2 linked regions of the Arabidopsis thaliana genome follow. The main gene of each other region encodes a partner of the protein of the gene in region 2 in a complex. Each region holds a gene or a part of one and is shown on either strand. Other genes may lie near its edges. A codon is read from its position in the direction of its gene.

The links.
Region 1: the proteins of PROPEP1 (region 2) and PEPR1 are in contact, whole or in part, in a crystal structure (PDB 5GR8), measured with the Arabidopsis thaliana proteins. Residues at the interface, in NP_569001.1 of Arabidopsis thaliana: Lys76 (codon at 2,688), Gln77 (codon at 2,691), Arg78 (codon at 2,694), Lys80 (codon at 2,700), Glu81 (codon at 2,703), Lys82 (codon at 2,706), Val83 (codon at 2,709), Ser84 (codon at 2,712), Ser85 (codon at 2,715), Gly86 (codon at 2,718), Arg87 (codon at 2,721), Pro88 (codon at 2,724), Gly89 (codon at 2,727), Gln90 (codon at 2,730), His91 (codon at 2,733), Asn92 (codon at 2,736); in NP_177451.1 of Arabidopsis thaliana: Asp129 (codon at 4,000), Tyr153 (codon at 3,928), Tyr155 (codon at 3,922), Val175 (codon at 3,862), Tyr177 (codon at 3,856), Asp179 (codon at 3,850), Val198 (codon at 3,793), Glu199 (codon at 3,790), Ser201 (codon at 3,784), Tyr203 (codon at 3,778), Tyr225 (codon at 3,712), His227 (codon at 3,706), Phe249 (codon at 3,640), Thr271 (codon at 3,574), Asp273 (codon at 3,568), Ser275 (codon at 3,562), Tyr276 (codon at 3,559), Ala295 (codon at 3,502), Val297 (codon at 3,496), Val299 (codon at 3,490), Ile319 (codon at 3,430), Asn321 (codon at 3,424), Glu324 (codon at 3,415), Lys345 (codon at 3,352), Asp348 (codon at 3,343), Glu369 (codon at 3,280), Phe371 (codon at 3,274), Leu393 (codon at 3,208), Tyr395 (codon at 3,202), Thr417 (codon at 3,136).

The regions. Positions count from the first base shown.
Region 1 is NC_003070.9:27,482,374-27,488,896, reverse strand, and holds PEPR1 (PEP1 receptor 1), read right to left. Parts: upstream 4,658-6,523; 5' UTR 4,385-4,657; coding exon 1,390-4,384; intron 1,253-1,389; coding exon 876-1,252; 3' UTR 693-875; downstream 1-692. Other genes in the region: AT1G73090 (WD repeat protein), read right to left, coding at 81-276, 516-633; AT1G73066 (Leucine-rich repeat family protein), read right to left, coding at 5,316-6,523.
Region 2 is NC_003076.8:25,935,199-25,938,776, forward strand, and holds PROPEP1 (precursor of peptide 1), read left to right. Parts: upstream 1-1,879; 5' UTR 1,880-2,054; coding exon 2,055-2,204; intron 2,205-2,612; coding exon 2,613-2,741; 3' UTR 2,742-2,978; downstream 2,979-3,578. Other genes in the region: PROPEP2 (elicitor peptide 2 precursor), read left to right, coding at 1-147.

The sequences.
Region 1 (6,523 bases), on a different chromosome or scaffold from region 2:
TGTTATGACTAAGTTATATATGCTATCAATTAGCTTAGAATGAATCAATTCTGGAACTAAATCAACCAAATCAGACTAACCAGAGATAAGCAGCCGGGTTATATGAAGCAGGGTCCAATGGAATCAACTCCTTGGGGGGATCAAGAAACGTCACAACATCAGATTCATCAACATAAACCCTTTTACCAGTAGGAAGAGTTTCATAGGGTTTTTCATCCCATGGAGATTCATATCCTCTCCCTCCTTGAACAGCCATAACCACACAACGAGACAACCCTGTAAAATCCAAAATTTATCACACAAATCTCACTCTCTCACTCTCTTTTTGTTCTCTTTACATATCCAACAAGACTCAAATACAACATACAATCAACAAGGAAATTGCAAATCACAGGAAATAACTGAACTTTCATCTTCAACCTCAATTTGATATAGACCAAGTTACTACAAGTGTGCACAAGATAATGCGTTCCCAAAAAAAAAATTCAATGGAAGAAAGAAGAGCTTAAGCTCACTGTTCGAGAGAGGAAACTCAAGCTGCGGCTTTCCATTCCGGCGAATTGAGCCTTGAACCGCCGGCCTAAGTACCGGAGTCCGTATAAGCCAACTCTCCTGAACCGCCCCTATCTTCATCTCCGGCCAAACGAAAATTTTCCCAACACTTTTTTTAAAAATAAAATAGGAAACAGAAATTTGATAAACGAGATTTTATTTCACAAACAAACACGGTTACAATTAAAGGGCCGTCATATTTGGGCCTTCAATAAGCCATATTTTACATTATTGGCCCAGTTACATTACCGGTAAGCCCAGTTACGTTACCACTGATAACAGTCCTTTAGTTTCCTCCTTCTGCTCTGCACAAAGTAACGAGATTACCGAACTGAATCAGAGGAGCAGCTTCTTGCCAGATGTTTCACATCTTCCAACAGTTTCACCGCATCTCTCATCGTTGGTCTCATTGCCGGATCTTGCTGTGTACAACTCAGTGCCAGTTCCGTCACTTGCATCACCTGCTCCCTAAGACTCGAATCCAGAAGCTCGTCCACGAGAATCGGATCGACGATTGTTGTTACCATATCCTCCACATTGTTGTTGCTGCTGCTCAAGGCAGATCTCACCCAGCTTACTATATCTGTACTTTCCGGGAAAGATTTGTCCACCGCTCTCTTCCTCGTAACCAGCTCAAGTAACACGACTCCATAACTGTAAACGTCTGATTCTCTTCCCCTCACGGTTTTGAAAGCGTTTTCTGCAGTTTAATTGTGAAATTAGCTAATAAGAAACAGAGTATCTTCCTAACAGACTTTTTTAACCGGTAACTAACTCGGTTTGAACACTAAACCAGATTATACCAAGTCCACTATGTATAATGAGAAGATGCATTACCTGGTGCAATGTAGCCGGTGGTGCCTGTAACAGTTGCAGTTGAAACCGTTGAGTCATCAAGAAGGCGAGCCAAACCGAAATCCCCAATGTGAGGCTCCAAATCTGAGTCCATGAGTATGTTCTCTGGTTTGATGTCACGGTGAACAATCGGGGGATGGCAGTCATAGTGTAGATAGGCTAGTCCATGAGCGACACCAAGTGCTACATTGTACCGTGCAGACCAGTCTAGCACATTTTCTTTCGGGCTAACACCGTGGAGAACGTCGTAAAGACTTCCTTTTGGCATGTATCTATACAGCATTAAACCGTCGTCTTTCCTCAGCCAAAACCCTTCTAACTTAATCAGATTCCTGTGCCTGACTTTACCGATTGTATCAATCTCCCTCATCATACTCTGGTTAGCGCGGATGTGAGACGCGAATACAAGTCTCTTCACAGCGTAGACCTTTCCGGAGCCTAAAGAAGCTCTGTACACAATTCCATGAGCTCCTCTTCCAATGGTGTACTTTTCATTTAGATTGTCAGTTGCTGCAAGAACTTTGTTCAACAACAAAGATGGGCCTTCCTCCTGAGTGAAGACATAAGCATCTTTCTCTGGTCTTCCTTTGCGACGACGTAGGCAAATGAAAACAAGAGCAAGGACCACAACCAAGACTAATAAAGACGATAAGACCGCTATTAGCACGATTTGCCAGGTGCTAAGGCCACTCTTCCTGCTTTTAGATTGATCTTTACAGTACTTTAACGCGCTGCGGCTATTGTTGCTAGCAGAGAAGGAATGTGGAATGCAGAGGTTTGGATTTCCTGAAAACGACGACGGCTCAGATAACAACTGACCCTCCAAGTTATCTGGTATTGGACCTGTGAACTGATTGTTGGAGACATCAACATGTAGCAATGAGGTAAGACCTTTGAGAACCGATAAAGATCCTGTCAAATTGTTGTTAGATATGTTGAGTCTTGTTAACTTGATGAGATCTCCCAACTTGGCTGGAATTTCACCTGTCAATCCGTTTCCACTAAGGTCCAAGTCATAGATCAGATCCTCTATCAACCCAATCGACGAAGGAATCTCACCACCAAAAGCATTTCTAGCAATCTGCAGAGTTGACAGCTTCTTAAGCTCAGGCAAGAACTGTGGAATACCTCCTGAAAACCGGTTCTCGCTGAGAACTAAAGTCGTCAAGCCTTTCCAGTTACTAAAGTTTGAAGGAACTGAACCGTTTAATGAGTTGAAGCCAACATCAAAACGCTCTAAACTCACACAGTTAGATAGCTGAGCTGGTAGAGACCCTTCAAGAAGATTACGAGAAAGATTCATGTAACCAAGGTTTTGTAGATTCCCAAGTTGTGGAGGTATCTGCCCCGTGAATCTGTTTCGAGATAGGTTAATACTCGAGAGATTCTTACAGCTTCCGAGGCTGCCCGGGATTGGTCCTTCGAAGTTGTTGCTATTGAAATCAAGAAAAGAAAGACTATGATCCTGAGAAAACTCAGGAAGAAGACCTGAAAGGTTATTTTCTCTAAGGATGAATCTCCTGATGGTCTTACAGTGACCAATAGAAGCTGGTATTGTACCATGAAGCAGATTAGAACCCAAGTTGAGTATTCTCAACTTCCTTCCATGGCATAGATTTGGCGGTATCTCTCCTGTAAGTTTGTTACCAATAAAGTCAACCTCTTCTAAGCTGCTGTTCACACCTAAACCCGGTGGTATCGCTCCATAAAAGCTGTTGTTGAACAGCGTAGCGATCTTTAGCTTCTTCATCTCAGTCATTTCCACAGGTAGTTCACCAGTGAGATTGTTTTGATAAACTAGCAACTGCGTAAGACTCTGACTCTTCCATATCTCAATAGGAATCTCACCCGAAAACCGGTTTTCGAAAAGCTCCAGACTTTCTAGCTTCCTCAGCTTACCTAATGCACTCGGTATTCCGCCTACAAGCTGGTTATCGTTCAGCTTCAACAAGTTCAAGCTACTGCAGTTCCCGAGCTCTGCGGGGATACTCCCAGAGAGACGATTCTCGGAAAGGTTAAGAATTGTGAGATTCTTCAACATACCCAATGAGGAAGGGATTGTACCTGACAAGTTACCACTCACAATGACTAAAGCGTCAAGGCTACTGCAATTTCCCAATGCAGGTGGAACACCGCCTTCGAATTCATTGTATGACAAATCTAAAGTCAACAAATTCTTGCAATTAGGTGATCCGAAACGAACCGGCCCTTGTAGACTGTTGTTACCAACAAACAGAGTAGTGAGATTCCCCAAAAGATTGAGACTTTCAGGTAATGAACCAACTAACTTGTTCCTGTGCAAATAAAGAATCTGCAGACTACTGCTATTCCCAATCGACTCAGGGATGTTACCAGAGAACTGATTCGCATACATACTCAGCTCCACAAGCTCCTTAGCATCACCAATACTTTGAGGAATCGGACCGGTGAGATTGTTATAGTCAAGATATAAAACCTGCAGCTTCGGAATTCGAAACAAGGATTCAGGTAACTCACCAGTGAGGAAGTTTATGTAAAGATAAAGCACCTCCAACCTCTTCAAGCTATCGAGAGTATCTGGGATCTTATCAGAGAATCCATTTTCAGACAAATCTAGAGTAGCGAGTTTGGTACAGTTTCCTAAAGTGGAAGGTATAGTCCCGGAGAAATTGTTAGTACTCAGATCCAAAATCTGCAAGCTTTTGAGCTCCCCAATTTCCGGACCCAATTGACCTGAAACCCTAGAACGAGTGAAGTTGAGAGACGCAACATTCTTAGAATCGTCACAAGTGATACCGAACCAGTTACATGGAGTTGCTTCAGATGCGTTTATTTTCCATGTCGAAGTAACTTGTGGTGGTACTCTATCCAAATGCTTCAGAAGAGAGAGTAGAGTTAGCCCATCTGAGTTTAAACAAGAAACGGAAATTATGTGGGTCGATAGAAAGAGACAGAAGAAAAGCAGAAGAATTTTGAACAACCCCCCAAGATTCTTCATCTGAGTTTAAAGATCGAGAAACATGCAGAATCTCAATCAAGATTGAAAATTTAAAGCTCAAGCCTCATCAGCAGGAAAGAAGCTCGTATGAGAGAGAGAAGGAGAAAAAGGACAAGACTTGATTGATGGGTATAAAGTAACTGATGATTCTTGCCGTTTTTTATGACGAGATGTTTGGTCTCTCTGTATACCAACGATTGTGAGAGCCTAACCTTCAACGCGTTTTCTTTTTACACGCCGTTTCTCATTCAGTCTTCTTTTTTTCCGTTTTCAGACACACGTGGTTTTTTTAGAAACAAGTCGTCTCTGTTTCTCTTTGTCAAATTGTGAATCTTTTGAATATTCGACAACGATGTCGTTTTACGTCCGTCTGATGTAGTCAAAAAGAGTAAGAAACCGTTAACAATACTAAATAACGAAACTAACAAAGATATTTCATTAAATAATTGGTTGGTGAATGGTCAATTAGTGGTTAACATTCATTAGGTTTGGGTCTTTCATTAATTTTCATTACCAACTATTGAATAATTGTTTTGGAAACGTTATCAACGTGCCCTAAATTGAATACGATAAAATACGTGTTTGACATTCTTTTTGTTATTTGATAAGAACAGCCTAACCGTAAGCTACAGCTGACCAAATTGACTTTCAAACTATGACTAACAGACTATGGTAAGCTTCCGAGTGGGTAACATCGTAGCATTAGCAAATTTTGTTTTTTCTTATTGAATGTTAAATAAGAATTTTGTATATTATGAATTTGGATCTTATCAACCGAAACTTTTGTGTTATCAATTAAAAATGTACTAAGCGGCAATAAGAATGGTGAAAAGGTATACAACGATTTAAGCAAAGAAAAAAAAGAGAGTATGTTGTATAGTAAAAATGTTTGATATGATGTCACTGGAATACATGGTTGTTTTCCTTCTCTCTAAGAGTGGCGATCGGGCGGAACGAATCCTGAAAACCGGTTTCCGGAGAGAACCAAAGTGGTCAACTCTTTCCAGTTACTAAACTTTGAAGGAACCGTACCGTTTAATAAGTTAGACCCAAGATTCAGGTGACTAAGGTTTTGTAGATTCTCAAGTTCTCTAGGAATATTCCTCGTGAGCTTGTTCCGAGACAGATTGATGGTCGTGAGATTCCTACAGCTTCCGAGACTACGAGGGATTGGTCCTTCGAAGCTGTTGCTATTGAGGTCGAGAAACGAAAGATCTTGATTCTTCGAAAACTTAGGAAGAAAGCCTGAAAGGTTGTTTTCTCTGAGGATGAATCTGCTTAGAGTCTTGCACTGACTAACGGATGCCGGTATTTTGCCGTGAAGCCGGTTAGATCCTAAGTTAAACACTGTCAACATCTTTCCATGGCAGAGATTTCGTGGTATCTCACCTGTAAAATTGTTACCAATGAAATCGATAATCTCCAAGTTGCTGTTCAGACCTAAATTGGGTGGTATCACTCCATAAAAGCTATTGTTGAAGAGAGTAACGATCTTGAGATTCTTGAGCTTGGTTATTTCCTCTGGTAATTTTCCTGTGAGATTGTTCCGATAAACTAGCAACTGCGTAAGACTCTGAATCTTCCATATCTCGATAGGAATCTCGCCCGAAAACCGGTTTTCGAAAAGCTCCAGACTTTCTAGCTTCCTCAGCTTACCTAATGCACTTGGTATTCCACCTACAAGCTGGTTATCGTTCAGCTTCAACAAGTTCAAGCTACTGCAGTTCCCGAGCTCCGCGGGGATACTCCCAGAAAGACGATTCTCGGAAAGGTTAAGAATTGTGAGATTCTTCAACATACCCAATGAGGAAGGGATTGTACCTGACAAGTTACCACTCACAATGACTAAAGCGTCAAGGCTACTGCAATTTCCCAGTTCAGGAGGGACACCACCTTCGAATTCATTGTATGACAAATCTAAAGTCACCAGATTCCTGCATTTGGTTGAGCCAAACTGAACTGTTCCTCTTAGGCTGTTGTTTGCAACAAACAGATCAGTGAGACTCTCCAAAAGATTGAGACTTGCAGGCAATGAACCAACTAACTTATTCTTGTGCAGATACAGAATCTCCAGCTTGCTGCAGTTTCCAATAGACTCAGGGATTGTACCAGTAAACTGATTGTCAAACAAACGCAGAT
Region 2 (3,578 bases):
GCTCTGAAAGACGATGATGTCGTTGTGTTGCTTAGGGACAACAAGGCCAAATCAAAGAAAAGGGATAAAGAAAAGCCTAGTTCAGGTCGTCCTGGCCAAACTAATAGTGTACCCAACGCGGCAATACAAGTTTATAAGGAGGATTAAGAAGTCAAAAATTGAGTCGAAAAATCCAAGAGGCCAATGAGTCAGTCATTGCTCCTTTTTTTTTTTTACTCAAACTTCTATGAAAAACTCGTACGTAGTTTATTTTGGTTTCCTCATTTTTCAAGACAGCAAAATTGACCAGAATGTATATACTTTTGAATCGGAACTAATTGTTGAAGACGTATTATTCTTGATCAAAGCATGCATATATCTAGTACAAGTTAATCTGACTTGAATACTTGATTTGACAATTTCTACCACACTTTGTTTACCTAGTAATCTAATACCATGTGTATTGATTGATATAGCTTTCAGCTGATTTCAAAATTAATAATTTTTACCAAGAAATTGCTGTGTCGTTTTTTTTTTTAGTTATACGTCTTTAAAATAAGTAAATTATAGTGAAAGGTACGGTTATATTTTAAACGGATAATAATTGAGTTAGTTTAGATCAATCAAACACATAAACTTCTTCGCTGGTCTTCACGAGTAAACGCCTAAAATCTAGTATTAAACAAATTCCTACAACTGACAAGTGGGGACCTTTAAATACACTAGATGAGTATCCACGGTAAGCGTGGGTTTATATTGAAAATTGTTAAAAAATATTTACATTTATAGTTTTTTTGCAAATTTATATTTATTCTTTATTTATTTTTGTATTGTTAATAAAATTATATCAATAATATGTAATTATATTTTATGGTTATATTCATTTGTAACTCGAAATATCAATTTATATATTTCATGTATAAAATTGATTATTTATAAGATTTTAATATTTTCACTTCATGAATACATATAACAACAATATATGATATTCTGAAAAAATTATGAGCAATTATGTTACTTGTGTGATTTAAAATTTGCCTAACTCAATTATAAACCAAATCTTGTTTTATGTACTTCAACAACATTGTGATAGGCTTATGATTAAAATTTGGATTGATATCAACTGAATAAGATTTGAAAAGTATTCGTATGAAAAAATAAAAAGATAACAAAAATTATATGTCATTTAAGTCAATACAAAAATATAGAATGACACATGTCATTTTTTTGTGTGATGATGTGTTATTCATTTGGAGAGAGTTGACCAATTTTCATATATATGATTTGTTTTATAAGGGGAACAAAAAATACAATTGTTTAATTACATTATCGTCGTGGCTTTATAGAACCAATCCAAGACAACAAAACAATTATAAGAAGTAAGAGCATCGTATTTTAGTCAATCATTCATCTTTCTCCTAATTCAATAAACAAACTTTTAACCATTTGATGTATTTTTTAAAAATTAATGTATTTAAAAAATAAAAAAAAAATTTATATTCTGAACATACTAATGACCATAAATATTTAGTTCGATTGTAATTTATTTATTTGATCCAAACTTCCTATAAGAAATTAGGGGAAATATTAAATATTCAATCTATAGTCCAACATTCGTCATCGGACGACGACGAGTGAACTGTTTTCGTTTTTGTTTGTAATGTTTATTCCAGTATATGTAAAATATTAGCTGAGTCATCAACCTACCTAAAGCCAAACGCCACATGCTTATTTTCACTAATAACAACAACAAATCATATATATTTATAATTACGCGTGAATGAATGTCATTCTTGATTATTTTTTGTCAACTAATTAATCAAAGAATCAGAAAATGGACTAGTTATTCTTATTCAAAAGTCACGATTTATGAATTCACCAAAAAATAAAAAAGAGTCAAGATTTATGAAAATGTATTTTATAGTAATAAAGAGTCACACCCAATACCGAGTTAGCCCACTATAAAAGGCAAAGATGTCTCTCTGCGCAATCACTCACATATAAAAAACAGCTTCACTCCTCTCACCAAAACTAATCAGATTAATAAAAGTTTTCCTCTGTCTTATCAGATCTCAATGGAGAAATCAGATAGACGAAGCGAAGAAAGTCACCTATGGATTCCTCTTCAGTGCCTCGACCAAACCCTCAGAGCTATCTTGAAATGCCTTGGTCTTTTTCATCAAGATTCTCCGACAACGTCCTCTCCCGGAACTTCGAAACAGCCGGTAAGCTTTGCAAGAGTATATTTTGGACTAATATGAGATTATTAATTTATGTCTGTTCTGTATACACTATAAAGCGGTTATGCATGGAATTTTTAAAAATGGAAATAATTTAATCTCTTATTTGAACACCAAAAAAAATGAAAAAGATGTTAAAGATTTGGTAGTAACAATTTATAAATGAACGTTTGTATATAAATATATTTTCCAATACTTTTGGAGTTAGCTAGGATATGATCAAAGTATTTAGCTATTTTTACTTTGAGTTAATCCTGTTAAAAATATCAAATTACGTTTAGATGAGAATAAGAATCAGGTAATTATATTTTGGTTTTAAAAGTCATTAGCAATGTTTTAGGAATATTATATAACATGAATCCAACAGATATGTACATGTGTTTATAATTGCAGAAGGAGGAAAAAGAAGACGTTACCATGGAAAAGGAGGAGGTCGTTGTGACGAGTAGAGCCACAAAGGTCAAGGCAAAGCAAAGGGGGAAGGAGAAAGTTAGCTCAGGCCGTCCTGGCCAACATAATTAGGCACTTTAAGTTACATTGTTTAGTCTAATTATTTGCAGTCGAAATGTGTTAATTTAATATCACTGTTTTACTTTTTTATTATATCAACAATCTACAGACAAACAAAATTTCATTAAGTTCTTGTTCACTATACGAGTTTTTTCCTCTTTATTTCATGCATTTTTTTTTTCCCGTATTTGATGTGATATTTGGGTTGAACAAAAGTAAATATGTTCGACCATCATAAGTTCATAACCAGTATCAATATTAATTGAACGCATTTAATATCCATCCATATCGAACGTATCTGTCAAATGTTAAACAACATTAAAGACGAACCTAATTGATATTTTTGGATTTATTTTAACAGTCAACAGCTATTTGGTTCTACCTAGCTAGCTCACATTAATTATAATTTAATGTCTTCACTCATAGAATGGTCATGTAAAATTACTAAAGAATTAAGTTTTGCATTCACCATACTTTTGTTTATAGATCATCATACCAATAATTTATAAAGTTAGATGTTATAAAATAAAATAAACAAAAACCTTAAACGCAGTGATAATCATCCTATCACAATTCACAACGTGCATTATGAATGGTAATATTATATACAAAGTTGACGAGTGCTCTCTATGAGTAACGCATGATCGCTCTATGATTTAATAAAATATACTCCACGAGGAGCAGAAGCAACACCAACTTCGAATATAAAACACATTTAACAATCTTCACTGTGACTTTAGACATCATGATTTTTTTGGTGTTCTTTTTTTAAAAAACTCATAATCTGGTGATAAGTCTCGTAGTTACCTCATCGTAGAACCACAATTTAGTATTTACACAAGAAGGTAT